Linked DNA regions of Mytilus edulis. The protein of the gene in region 1 interacts with the protein of each later gene in a biochemical or structural test. Links are inferred from orthologs where the notes say so. Each region holds a gene or a part of one and is shown in the gene's direction. Other genes may lie near its edges.

Region 1 (7,753 bases):
TACTCTGTGTTGAAGGCCGTACCTTGACCTATAATGGTTTACTTTTATAAATTGTTATTTGGATGGAGAGTTGTCTCATTGGCACTCATACCACATCTTCCATATCTATTTATTAATATAAATGTATAATTATTCTATAATGAGCATGTGATGCCATCCTAAGATCCTAGTTCACCAGTTTGTATTGCCTTGTTCCAGGGGCAGATTTAGAGGGTTTTCCTGGATGTGTGGAAAAATTTGGCTGATTATGTAGAGAATCACTGAAGCATGATAGGAGCGGGCACTCTCTTAGGCAGTCAGTGGGCACCCCCTTATGAAAATTTCTGGATCTTCCACTGAATTCATCTTACCTGGGTGAACTTTGACCTTTCCAATAACCCCATAGACCATTCCAATACAAACAGGATTCCATGCTGAACATAAGTCTATACCTATAAGAATAAAATATCATACAAATATATCATACATGGGAAAGATTGTTGTTGGATTGCTGTCTTTTAAAAACATGTGTAAGATGATATGTCTGTGAGACACAATGTTTTGTCTGCATACGCCAGGATTGGCAAATAAAATATTGGTTTGTTTGATTGTTTGTTTCCTTCACTACATCCTACATTTACAATAAATCACAAAATATAAGTTCTGACATTTGAAAATGAAATGTAATTTTGTTTTTGTTTTGAAACTGAACTGATGTGAAAGGTCAATGCCATAGAAATCAATATGCACCATCATAAAAAAGGTCAGAAATGTATGATACTACTAGACGATTCAATTATCTGTCAGCTTAATATTTAGAAGTAACCACACTGGTTTCTTAAAGATATGTTAGATAACCTAATATTATTTTCAATTGATTAATTGTATCATCTAAATATTGCAACTTATTTTTTCATGACACTGACTATTGAATTTATAGTATGAGGCAGCTTAATAGAGCCTACATCCTAATCAATTATTAAGGTTAATCACTTGACATTCATTTTTTTCCTTAACAAATAATGTGAGGAACTATAGGCCTTAGCATTGTAAACAATCATTTTTGAGTTATATGCAAAAGGTCAGATCAATTGGGTTAAGGACACCACCATTTCAATTCAAGGGGGAGGGGGGGAGATAGGTGGGGATGGTTGTTTCCTTAAAAAATATTCTGATCACTAATTTGATGAAAGAAAAATATTTAGGTCCAGATGATGACCAAATTTCCCATACTGAATAGTATTATACATTTGTATTCTGAAAAAAAATAATTGATTGCATGTGTGAAAAACTAAAAAAAAAAGGTTCGCACTTTGACCAAAAAATGTTGTTGAGATTCTGACATAAAACCAGAACACCCCCCCCCCCCCCCCCCCCCCCCCCGTCCCCATTTGAAGTTAAATGATTACTCCCTAGAATAATGTGTCAAACTGATATTCTTTTTTAAAATTCATCTGCTGGATTGGAGCTACGGTACACATTAAGATTAATTTACAGAAAGACTAAAGCATGTAGGGTTTTTATTTTAATGTAAATAGCCATTTAACAAGTTCAAACATATTTTTTTTTTTCCAAATCAAAAACATGAAATAAATAATTTTGTGAAAAAAGCAACAATTTTTAATGACTGATGATCAAGGAATCAATATTATTCGACATGTTCGATAATAGATACTTTCTTGGGAACAGATTAACTTCTTATCATAATTTGTATATATAACTAGTTAAACATTAATGGTCTAAAAGGTCAATGATGAACCAGTTTATTAGTCTGACTGCTGTTTGGTACATCATAATTAAGGCAGAACAGCTATTATTAAATTGTTTAAAAGCAAGACGATAATAACAAAATACTATCTTAAACATTGATTCTTTGTAAGTGTTTCTTTCTGATTTATTCATATAGAATGAAATAGGAGTGCAGGTAAAATGTCCTTATCATGATTCGTCAGATGTGAATGAAGTCCATTTATGTACTAATTAGCTATATATATAGTAGCTCTATTGCACATCTGGAATACATTTTATTTCGAACAATGTACATACATGTATATTGTTCTTATTTAGTAATTTTTACCCAGCACCATATATTTAGGTTCAGTTATTCAAATCCAACTACTTGTCGCTGATTTTTCAAAGAAATCGATGCAGATAATATAATTAAACATGGACAGGAAGAGAACCCCAAAATGAACTGTTGTGCAAAAAGAAATATTCACATTTTCCATTTGCTCAAACATGATTTAAAATATTTTTTTGATAATCAGCACCCTGGTTAATCCAATCATTATCAACTATAATTAGCATGATTATAGCATTGTCTTAGACAATGCTAATCATGCTAAGCATATAAAGATAGATACTCAATCAAAGTAGATAATCATTATCAACTATTAGCATTGTCTAGCGTGAAAGATAGATACTCAATCATGGTAGATAATCATTATCAACTTTTAACATTGTCTAGCATGAAAGATAGATACTCAATCATGGTAGATAATCATTATCAACTTTTAGCATTGTTTATAGTGAAAGACAGATACTCAATCAAGGTAGATAATCATTATAAACTATTAGCATTGTCTAGTGTGAAAGATAGATACAAAATGTACTCAATCAAGGTAGATAATCATTATCAACTATTCGCATTGTCTAGAGGGAAAGATAGATACTCAATCAAGGTAGATTATCATTATCAACTATTCGCATTGTCTACATGGTCTAGAGTGAAAGATAGATACTCAATCAAGGTAGATAATAATTATCAGCTATTAGCATTGTATATACAGTGTAGCTTGAAAGATAGATACTCAATCAAGTTAGATAATCATGATCAACTATGAGTATTTTTTTTAAATCTTTTAACTTTAAAATCAAATGAATACTGTTTTCTCCAATATTGTCTCAACATTTTCATTTCAAAAAAAAAAAAGTGAAAACAAGTGAACATGGTGAAACTGCAAGCTAATGCTCACTGATGATACCCCCGCCGCAAGTGGATAATATTAATAATGGTGTTCGGTAAACAGGAAGTTGTCGAGTGATGAATCTGAAAATGAATCACATGGTATACATGGTATAGCAGACTTATATCAAGCCTGAAACCAAATTTTAGAAATCCTTTTAGTATAGTTCTTGAGAAAAATGTGACGAAAAATTTCAACTTGGCTATCAGGTGTAAAATGATACTTGTTCGGTAAACAGGAAGTTGTTAAGTGATGAATCTAAAAAAGCAATCACACGGTATAGAGGACTTACATTGTATATCAAGCCTGAAACCAAATTTTAGAAATCCTTTTAGTATAGTTCCTGAGAAAAATGTAACGAAAATTTTCAACTTGGCTATCATGTGTAAAATGATACAAGTGTTCGGCAAACAGGACGTTGTTGTGTGATGAATCTGAAAATGCATCACACAGTATAGCTGAAATATATAAACTCTGAAACCAAATTTCAGAAATCCTGGTAGTGTATATACATTGTAGTTCCTGAGAATAATGTGACGAAAAATATTCATGGGACGGACGGACTGACGGATTGATGGACTGACGGAAGAACGGACTGACGGATGGATGGATGGATGGATGGACAGACAGAGGTAAAACAGTATACACCCCTTTTTTTTAAAGCAGGGGTTACAGTATACCCCCCTTTTTTTAATAGCAGGGGTATAAAAATGTCATGTAAACACCATGTATGTATGTACTGGTAAATGCCTCCGATATCCGAAGAACCCCTCAAAAGCTGCAAGGGTACAGTGGCATCCATGTACACTCCCTAACGGGATTAATGGAGATGTGTCACTAACGTATGTTTATACGACAATTATTTTTACAAGGACAATCAATCCCCACCCAACACAAAGGGAGTGCTAGGACACCGGGCAGTCTGTTATTATAGTGGAGGAAGCCGAAGTACTCGGAGAGAACCACCGGGCCACTCGGTGGAAATAGACAAACCAGAGAGATATCAGAAGATTGATCTCCAGGTCAAAGTAAGGGACAACTTTGACCAACCGAGGCCCCCAAAGTACCCATTCTAGTTTAAACTCCAGTCTGGGTACCAGAGATGTGTGTGAGAGGGTGAAAATTACCCTTCTGATGTGCTGATATTTTCAGCACTGTAGCCATCGGTCATAACCACTAGACCACGAACTCACATAGTACATGTAATTACTGTACAGTGGTACTAATGTATAATACCTGTATGGAGTTATATTTTTCAGAATGATAGGTCATTCTTTTCGAAGAATCATAATTTTTGTTCCGCTCGGCTAATTTTTGCCCAAAATAACTGGCTTTGGAATTTTATAAATTGTTGAAAATCACAGTCATACAGACTTTTTTTCTATACGCCTCCAGTTTTTTAGCTGATTTTTGATATGTGAGACTACCATCATGTTTGTGTCCACAAAGGCACATGTGTTATTGAAATTGCAGACTTTCAACTTTTTGAGACGGGGCCATTCGTGTCGGATTGACACATCTAGTTGGGATGTTTTTATCATAAACATATATGGATAAACATTAGAAATCACCTTTTTTTGGTTCAAGATCTCCTGTAGTTCTACTACACCACAGCGTAAAATCGCCATCCTGTAAGATATAATGGTCCTCAGTGTGAAAAACTTGTATCATTTTATCAATTCTTTATCACAGGAACCTTATCTCCACAAGTTTCATTTCATTTTTCACTTTTGGGGCAAAAAATAATATACGAGATAGAAAATCGAGCTAAATGTCAGTTGCAGGAAATGAACACTTTATTTACCTTCAGCTTTGAGAGCAACACTTCCGGTAAAATCAGAAATATGAGTGTAAGTCTGTATGGATGATAACATTATAAATATATTGCTTACTTTGATATATGAAGTAGTTTACACGATTTTTTTTTACAAAATTTAACTTTTTGATGATTGTTGAATTGACGTTCTTCTAGCTATAGAGGTTTAAAAACAAATATGGTGTGTGTCAAAAGAAACTGAAAGTGAAAAATACAGACTAATTTTCTTTTTCTCATTTTGTATCAATAGACAACTTTCGAGTTCGATGCTTTTCCGTCAAAAACTCTGGTTTTAGTGAACGTCATTTGTGCGTTTAGGGGCGTCGTAACTTCCATTCAAATGTTGAGCGAGTGGTTGGAAAACTATAATTCTATATTGTACGAATTATTCGGCAAATTGAATTCTCAAAATTGACAATCAGCATTGCTGTCATTAGGGAATTGTCATTAAGTACCTACAGAACAACCATTATTTCTAGTTTATCCTCCATAATGACGATCACTAGGACGCTTGATGCATGTAAATAGTGCAGGGATACAGGCGACCCCCTCTATCTGGTAAATGTCATAAAGGCGCGTATAATTGACGAGTTTTTTCCGGTGACGGATGAACTCGAAAGTGGTCTATTCTTTTTATGCCCCCTTTTACAGGAAGTATTAATGAATGCTGCTAACCGTCTCAGTGTTCTAGGATTTTTTTGGCACCTTGACTTACCACGGGTAAGATCAATAAAAAAATTACTTACCCACATCTAAAAGTTAAATCCGCCAACCAATGCGGACGGCGCAAAAAAAACGATTTCTTACTAAATTTGACAAATATGTTATAGTTATTACTATGTCATTTATTCAGAGCTATAATAAATGCAACTGTAAGTTTATTTTCCTCCGATGACAAGAAAAAAAATTGTTTATGTCCCGATTTAAGCACCAGTTATCAATCCGGATTTTCCGATTTTTACCGACACCGTGACCGACTTTTAGAATGATAGGAGAAGAATGTGGTCTCTTTTGCGCTTGATTACACCTAGTAAACGAGTGCTTGAATAAAAGCGCCGATAGACATCGACAAAATCTTCGATCTTTTATCAAAGTTTTTTCTCGTGATTTAATAAAAATAAAAAGCAGATATGGGAAAATTGAAGAGGACCGGGAAATTTCAAGAGTTTTTCGGCTTCCCCGAACTTGAAAATTGACTTACCACCGGGTGACAAAGGCTAAAAAATGACTTACCCGTTGTCCTAATCCACTTACCCCGGGTAACGGGTAATGGGAATCCTAGAACACTGCGTCTGCTTGTCCGTCGTCAACATATCATACATTTATACCTCCAAAATGCTTTAACAGATATTCAAGAAACTTTGTTTATATCTTTTGACGTGAGCTCCCTTAAAAAAGCTTTCATTTTATCAATTTCAGATTAACTGTTGGTTTCCGACTTTTGGGGTTTTATTTATTGAAAAAGGAGGGATTTTCCATCAATGTCCAATTTTCTGACAATAACTCAAGAAATGCTTTTACCAATTTTCATGAAACTTTGTTTGTTTATAATATGAGGCAGGCATTACCTGTGAATGGGGACAAAGTCTATGATTTTTTTTTTTAAATCAACAATGTTAAAAAGAGAAACGGAGATACCGTAATGTTTCCGATTTTGGTTCTGTTGTTAGGGATTTTAGTTGTGACATTTATTTAAGTTATGACGTCATATTCAATGTAATCAAAGAAACGCTGTCATCAGATAACTTTTTTTTAATAACAAACATTTGTTTTAAAATGAATTAGTATTAGTTACTTTCTTAGACTGATAAATATACATTTTATTCAAAGTCTCATGTCACAAGACCGGAAACGGAAGTAGATTTCTGCGCAGACTGGAAATTCATAAACGCGACAAAAAAAATTCGGGAAATTTTCCCGATTTAAAAAAAAAAATATTTATTATTGAATTTTCTACTGTAATAGGGGACTTGGTCACGATATTATATAGTCTGATGTAGAACTGATTTACTAAGTATTGCGCAACAGCACAGTGTATTGCGCAACCACAAAAAATCTAATTGGATACAAATTCAATTTATTTATTTATAACCTTAAACCAATTTGAGTTCTTTGACTTCATTTATTAATATGTCAAATAGTTACATGTACTTACAATCAAAATTCAGACCTGTATCAAGCTTGAATATTGTGTCTTTTTTGCCCAAATTAAACTGTTCAGGGTTGGACCTCTGGAGGCGTATCCAGCTGCATTCAGCTAAGCAGTTTATTATTAATATCATGGCAGTTATATATTTTATCATCTTGCAACATGTTACAATGTATACAGAATAAAAGCATTTTTGTTTTTGATACTAACTTTATCAGCAAGAATATCAAGCAAGCCCACTAAGGCAAGTCATAATAATGTGGTACTGTTGGTATGATATTAGAATCTAATTCTAGAAGTGCCCTTTGGGCATCTTTTCTTAATAATAATGTAATGTATTTTATTTGAATTGACAGCTTCCTAGAATGCAGAGATCTGATCACAGGAGACACAGACGTTTGACATCTAGAAGTTCGTCAGGTCAAAGGTTACCAATAGTTGTTCAAACACAAAGAGCAAGAAGAAGAAATAATCCTCTAAGGGAAAGAAATCAGGAAGTAGTTGATGTTGAAGGTATAAATATTTGCTTCTCTTTAACATGTTGAATAAAATACAGACATGAATTAAATTCAACAATCCAGTTCCATCCTCAACAGTGATGAAGCCTCAAAAGAGAAATTAGAAATGCATATTAATATACGATATAGCTTAGGAGAATAGGCAACTTCCAAGTGAAGTCTAAGTGAAGAAATGCAATTAAATTTTTATACGACCGCAAAAATTTTAATTTTTTGGTCGTATATTGCTATCACGTTGGCGTCGTCGTCGTCGTCGTTGTCCGAATACTTTCAGTTTTCGCACTCTAACTTTAGTAAAAGTGAATAGAAATCAATGAAATTTTAG
Region 2 (7,636 bases), on another chromosome or scaffold:
TTAGTGTTATTGTGTAGTTAACAGAGCAGAGAAATTGTAACTGTCAGGAGAGCCTTGAAGTCATTAAACTTTCAAGTCAGTTTTTTGTACTCTTACTCAAAACTCAAGCAATAAAAATGTTGGATTTCATGTTTCGAGCATGATTTGTGTGCTCCGAGCACTGAGCAAAGTTTTATGACTTCAACCCTTGACCTCGAAAGTTCTGCTATCTGCTATCGAAACTTATTTGATTATACATTGTGATTGCTTGCATTTGCAAAGTACATGTATATATCAAACAATGTATCAAGTCATTGTTCCTTTATAAATATGTATAGACTGTTAATGTACATTTATCTTGCTATTCAGATTTTGAATCCTAAAGAATAAACTATTTCAGATAAACAAATAAAAGCTGTATATTTTAACAAACATAAAACTAAAATTTTCAGGTAAAATAGATTATAATTGTGGATGCACATCAGTATATATGGAAACAATTATAAAAATTCAAATTAGAGTTTGCATATTGAAAATTTGATTGATTGTTAATGGCCTTATGGTGTAACACCACTAATTCAGGCCCGGCCAGAAAGCACATACCAGAAAGTAGTACATATTTAACACAAAATAGTTCCTACGCATGAGTGTAACTTTCAAAATATGTAGAATATTTAGGTATTTTTGGTATCAAATGAAAGCTGAAGGACTGGTGATCATTGTAGAACACTTTTGGACTTTTAATTTTGAATAGTAAAAAAACTGCTCCAAATTTTAAAAAGAGGGTACATTTTGTCTGTTTGTCAGATCTGAAGTACCTGTTTTGGTACATCTGAAGTTCCGGGAACCAGTTCTTTCTTATATGCAATGTAAGGTATGTTGATTTTTTCAGTACAAGACACCATAAAGTGTTGCTTTGAAATGCAATGATTGCCACTTTATTTGAACTTAAAATAAAAGAGGTGTGCCTGCTTGAAACGGAGGAATTTAACATAGAAAGCAATGGGACCATGAATTAGTGGTGTACTTCCTATTACAGAGAATCACCAGAAATCCAATTTTTAGAAGTTGTACCTATTCCAATGAAAATAAGTCAAATATGATGTTAGTAATCATGTCTAATCATCTTTTTTGGGTCAACCGTCCTGCTTATGGGAAATTTAAGCTCTTAAATTGGCATACTCAAATATGTTAGCCTTTTATGGTCATACAACATGCATGCAGTTAAGACTTGACTCCAAGTTCTCATTTTTGCATTTTTTCTGATTCAAATCAATAAAACATGTATTTTATGACTTGTTTATGGAACAAAATAGCTCTTGGTCAAAATAATCACATGATTTTTCAAGTTTTTTTGTTTTTCTTATGGTAGCCTTTTACAATCTAGGCAAATGGTATATACTCATATAAGAATTCTTAAATCTCACTGTACATGCAATTTTGGACCAGTTTAGCAAGTTATCTAGCTGAGGGATATATAAATTGCTCTTATTAATCTATGTTTTACCACAGAATTATAATTCATGCAAAAAAAAAAGCCTTTTTTCAATTTCAAGAAAAAAGGGGGGATAATTTCTCATTTATGTCTTAAGTTTGGACTAATGTATTGTTATTTAATGAAGAACCTCTGATAAAAATATGACTAATAGTAAGCACATAGCTTTCCTAATAGAAATTAATAAATAAAACAATGATATTGAGAATAAAAAAAATATATTGGCCAATGGTAATATACATATGCAGTTTTCTTTGAATAACCCATATGTTACTACCAGTCCAATTTGAGCTTTAAATTAATAAAATAGTATTTGGACTAAGGCTTTATATGTTTTTTATTGCTTGAAATAGATCATAGAATGAAATAAAGTAATGCTCAAGTCAATATAGCAAGTTTGGTTCTGTTATAGGTGTAACACCACTAATTCAGGCCCGGCCAGAAAGCACATACCAGAAAGTAGTACATATTTAACACAAAATAGTTCCTACGCATGAGTGTAACTTTCAAAATATGTAGAATATTTAGGTATTTTTGGTATCAAATGAAAGCTGAAGGACTGGTGATCATTGTAGAACACTTTTGGACTTTTAATTTTGAATAGTAAAAAAACTGCTCCAAATTTTAAAAAGAGGGTACATTTTGTCTGTTTGTCAGATCTGAAGTACCTGTTTTGGTACATCTGAAGTTCCGGGAACCAGTTCTTTCTTATATGCAATGTAAGGTATGTTGATTTTTTCAGTACAAGACACCATAAAGTGTTGCTTTGAAATGCAATGATTGCCACTTTATTTGAACTTAAAATAAAAGAGGTGTGCCTGCTTGAAACGGAGGAATTTAACATAGAAAGCAATGGGACCATGAATTAGTGGTGTACTTCCTTATAAACACTTAATGCAACAACTCACAAAATGGCTATATATTTGTTTATTGTTTAAAAATCAAATTTGTAAACTTTCAAGCGTTTGCTGTATTTACCCAAAAAGAACATAAGTATACTCCTACGTATACTTGCATACATAGGTATATATGTTCTGTCCTGGACTTTAATATAGCACTAAGCATAAAAATAATAATATTGTTGAAAGGTGTTGTTTTCTTATATGTCTCTTATCTTATGTATTTGTATGTAATGTGATAATAGCTCTTTACAGGGCCCTTTAATTGGACAAAATATTGTTATACCTGTGTATTCCTTTGTAGCATCAAGAGGGTCGACCCACACTGTAATCTTTGAGTTTGATATTGATTGGTCACTTGATATTGTTTCTGCAACTTCTGTTAAATGCTTATTTGTGTCTTTTATTTCCAGTAAATTCACAGGTTTTAGATCTTTTTCTTCAGATATAACCTAAAGAGAAATATACCAAGTTTATGAAATAAGGCATTTGACACTTAAGCTAAACATCATGAACACATTTTGGATCAACGATAATCTTATCAATATCAACAATAATGAGTACTACAAGGTTAAAACAATACATGTATATATATAACAGACCAACCTAACAAACCGGGTACATTGTAATAAAGAAAAATATTGCACACCAATATAAAGAGTCTGAGACAGCAAAGGGTTCACCCTCAGAAATCATAGCTCAAACAGTGAGTTCTCATTACAGCATGCTTTGGTGCTGAGAGATATACAAAGGCTGTGAAAAGGCACAGTAAAATTGTAAAATACCTGGGGGACTGAACATGTGACATTATCCAAAAACCTTGCAAATATATCTGATTGCAAAATAGTACCTACATGTATGATTTATAAAGCATTGAACAAAATTCAGTATGAATGTGGTAGAGCAATAAAAGTAGTAAAGAAATATTATACACTAGAAAACTGAAAATAGTAGGCTGACCTACAATGTATATATCATAAAATTTTACTGACATACCATTTTTGGACCGAAAAATTAAAGAACCAAAGATAGATATCTGGGACCTTTCTCAGACTGATATTAAGACAGTGCTTAAAGGGTCTGTCAATAACACTACCATACGTCATTTCTGGAATCATGTTTTTCACTGGAAAAGATCGCCAATTTCGCACCCCTTTATGACGTCATTTACCAGATAGAAGATGTGTCTGTATCCCTGCCCTATTAAAAGTTTCCAGCATTATCGTCATTTTGTAGGGTAGTAAAGAAATCATTTATGTTCCATTAGTACATAATCTTGATTCTTCTTCTTCTTCCTTTATAGTACAGGCCTCCCAGGGGAGTATTATCGTACTGTTTTATGTACATGTTCGATGTGAGAACAACAAATGTGCGGGTAGGTGCGATTCCTGTACAAATGAGGGAGGGTGACCATCTTATTAGATTTTAATTTCCCAAATATTTTGTGTAGTATAAAATCAAACTTTTTCATCCGTTTGCTCAACATGAGTTGGAAGTCAGGATGCATACATTTTTGTCACGTGGCGATGGAAGTCACACGACAGATACATGTAAGTCTAAAAACTGTTTCCCCAAACTGCCTTATTGTAGGTACGAAACAAACCAGAACTAATAGACTAGCATTTAAGAAAACTATCATTAGGTCTTATATAATAACTACCTTTAGACCAGGGAATGCTTTTGCCAATCCATATACAATAGCCCTGTGCGACTGTGTATCTCCTTCAGTCTTCACATCTTTGACACCTTCATCTGTCTTTCCTTTCAGATTTTCCTGAAGTACATTACTAGCTAGTCTTACATCTTTTACTCTTTTGCCCCCTTCTTGTGCAAGCTGTATACACACTGATAACAGTTCTTTCATGCTAACTCTGGGCTCTCTATGGAACCAGTCGGGAAGACCAAACATGTACAAAGCTGCACATACACCAAGAGCTATAAATACAGCTCCACCAACAGGGTTGATTCTTACATTTGCAGGTCCCATTGTAGATCATAGATGTCGAGCTGGAAAAATAAGTAGAAGCTTGATGTAAAGACTTAGTTTCGAATAATATTTTAAACCTATGGAAAGAAATGCACGATCCACAAAATTAAGAAATCTAATTTTTATTTCTAATACTTTATACTTTTTATATATGAAACACGATAAAACAATAAATTTTTAGTTTCTTTTTATTCGAAACTAAAGGTAAACAGACAGACGATCATGGCTTCTATGGAGGTATTCCACTTTTACATTTCAGTCTTTTATTCGATATATGAGACAATATCTGAAAAAGTCTAATTTCCATGTCCCGCACTTCACCAGCAATTATTTTTTTATTCAACCATCTTTTTTGAAAATTTTAAGTTTCAGTATAAACTAAATTATATAATGCACCATGGCCTGCCAATTAAACACTCATTCTTATATTTCTTCCAATAAAATATTGTAATTTAAATGTTCAACCCCCCTAAAATCATGTTGTCCCCTGTGTTTTTTTGAAAACTAAATCATTCAAATAATATCCAAATTAATTAAACAGGCGTCCGATTCTCACATATATGATATATTATATAATAAACTTGCCCCTAATTTGTCTTTTTATATTATAACTATAGCATGTAATAAAATTTTGCAAATTTTAAGAGAAAAAAAATTTGTCCCCAGGGCTGATTTCCCTCCTGTTACCACTGGGTTTTTTTTACCTGTGGAAACATTTACAAGACCAAGAGTTATTTTCCCATTATGTATTGTGCAGAGCATCATTTCCTGAATGCATTAGTACAAAGAAATAGTTGGAAAGGCGGCCAGGTTTGAAAATTCAAGCCCATCCAAGGTAAGAATTTATAGAAAAATACTTATTGGTGTTCTATCCTGTTACAGCCTTTTCTTACACTTACTGAGAATATTTTTAAGTGTGCACCACAGCATTAAGTGTGTTTTTATATCATCTTTTTAAAAGTTATATGTCACAGGAAATACACTTACATTTAATGTGATAAAAAGGACAAAAACTATCGCGTAATTCCTTTCTGTTACGTTCTGTCATGTTACCTGATAAAAAGTAACAGCATAACCATCATCAGTAACAGGAAGGATGTTCAAGACAATTTCACTGACAATCGAAAAGTTAATCTACTATATGCTAACCATTTTATTTAATATAAGTTATCACCACCATATTAAATAAATTTCTAAATAATATACAGTATATTTAATAAAAAAATAGGTTTTTTGCTTTTGATAACAGCAGAGAACATTGTGCAATTCTAGTTTAGTAAATAGTAACAGAAAGGAATTTATTTTAGAATTTTTCCTTACCTAGGCAGATTTTTCATCTTGCAAATACAGTTTCAAAGGATAAATCACATTGTTTGCTGTTATCTTCCAATTGTGACCAATTTAAAATGATGTATTTTTCTTAAACTTTAAAATAAAGCAGAAAAATCCTTTCTGTTAACAACTCTGTCCTGTTACCGTTGTGCTGTTACTCAAGATTCTTTCATGTTACCGACATATCTGACTATATTTAAGTATATTTCTAAACCTTTTGTATTGCAAATGCTAAAATAAATAATTGGCATTTGATAAACTCTTGCAGGATATACTAGTAAACCACAAATATTGTCTTAAACTTATTCATTATTCCCATTAGAAACTTTTTAAAATTGATTCACTTTGGTAACAGGAAAGAACTGGATTTGTTTTGTACCATTTTTGAAATAGCCATTGTTTCCTTATAAAACAATTTTTTGAATTACAGACAACAGTTCCTAGATCCCCAATGTGTGTTCTTCAATTTGTGCTATTAAAATACTGGGTCTAAAAAAATTTTTTTGGTTTTTTCTTATTTCCAAAAATTAGACTTTTTCAGATATTGTCTCATATTAATAATGTGATGTGCATTATGAAACTTGTGGTTTGACTCATATGTTTAAGTATGAAATTACTTCTACAACAAACATGACACAAAGTTTGTTGAAGTCGTGTATAGTAACAAAAAAATTACTTCCGAAAATGCAATATGGAAATGATAAACAGATAAAAAAAATATTCATAGACATTTTTATTTAGTGTCCTTCTTAAATACTAATAACAGTTACATTAGAGACTTTCACTAATATTTGGGATCTCCTGTAGTTGGTGATCGCAATACTGGTATACCAGTATTGTCCATAATACTGGTATAAAAATTTTGTACCAGTATTGTTACTTTTTATTAAAAAAACAGCAATACTGGTACATTACTGATATACCAGTATTGTAGTTGTATTGTTGATTAGACTATATTGAAGATCAAAGGGAGATTAAATGGAACTCAAAAAGATTATAGAGGATAATTGTGAAATCAATTAACAACCAGTTAAAAGTCATTACTATACTGTACTTGCACAAATAAACAAAGGATTATTGAAATTAACTCATATCATCATTATTATTTAAACAATTGCTAATAATTTTATCATATTTCTATATTTTATTTTATTTAATATAGATAAAATAAAATAAAAGCTTATTATTATCTGAGCAATACTTTAATAAATTCAAGCAAATTATTAGACTCTAACACTGTAAATTCAGCATTTACATGTATGCCATCACATATTTTGACAGATATTTTAATACATGTATACATTTTTAGTGTACTAAGATCATATGCATTTGTTTGTCTTTATTTTCTTATTAATCTTTCACAACAAAAGATATCAATATAATTCATTAATTATAAAAAGTTGCTTTATAGGGGAACCTTGTTATAATCCAATTAACTAGTTTGTCTACATAAATGTTAAGGGTTGAAGCAATTGATTCAGAACCATGGACAATACAATTAGTAGCAGATACATGTATATCTACTGGTACAAATACTAGACCAGCATTCTGACAGTTAGAGAGCTATACAAATGCTATCTGAAATAGCTTGTAATCTAGTAAGCGTTAGAGAAAGTCCACAGAGACTGAATACCTAAATACCAATATAGTAAGGGGGAGGGGTTGCATAAATCACATCTGAAGAAGAAATACCAATGCTGATGATACAGAAGCTATAACAGCATTAATGTCAATATAAAATTCACTAAAATATACTACATGAATCTTGGAAAGAGAGAGCTGAAAGAAAACATAGAAGAAAGTACAGAGTTTGTTAAAATGCTGAGACAGAAAGGTTAAGAAAAAAACATCAGAAGATTTAAAACTTTATTTGATGACAATCACAGTGTACCATCTATGGCATCATCAGTTAAACACAATCATTCCTAATAAAATTGTCATGTC

What was found.
Region 2: the proteins of E3 ubiquitin-protein ligase RNF4-like (region 1) and ubiquitin-conjugating enzyme E2 W-like form a complex in vitro, tested with the Homo sapiens proteins (2 studies listed by BioGRID). The link is inferred for Mytilus edulis from reciprocal best matches to the Homo sapiens genes RNF4 and UBE2W.

The regions. Positions count from the first base shown.
Region 1 is NC_092347.1:57,598,464-57,606,216, reverse strand, and holds the start of E3 ubiquitin-protein ligase RNF4-like, read left to right. Parts: upstream 1-4,684; 5' UTR 4,685-4,732; coding exon 4,733-4,795; intron 4,796-7,266; coding exon 7,267-7,423; intron 7,424-7,753. Other genes in the region: phosphatidylinositide phosphatase SAC2-like, read right to left, coding at 351-431, 4,517-4,616. UniProt on the Homo sapiens protein: E3 ubiquitin-protein ligase which binds polysumoylated chains covalently attached to proteins and mediates 'Lys-6'-, 'Lys-11'-, 'Lys-48'- and 'Lys-63'-linked polyubiquitination of those substrates and their subsequent targeting to the proteasome for degradation.
Region 2 is NC_092344.1:109,518,570-109,526,205, reverse strand, and holds the start of ubiquitin-conjugating enzyme E2 W-like, read left to right. Parts: upstream 1-4,551; 5' UTR 4,552-4,582; coding exon 4,583-4,597; intron 4,598-7,636. Other genes in the region: putative inositol monophosphatase 3, read right to left, coding at 2,660-2,825, 4,034-4,360. UniProt on the Homo sapiens protein: Accepts ubiquitin from the E1 complex and catalyzes its covalent attachment to other proteins.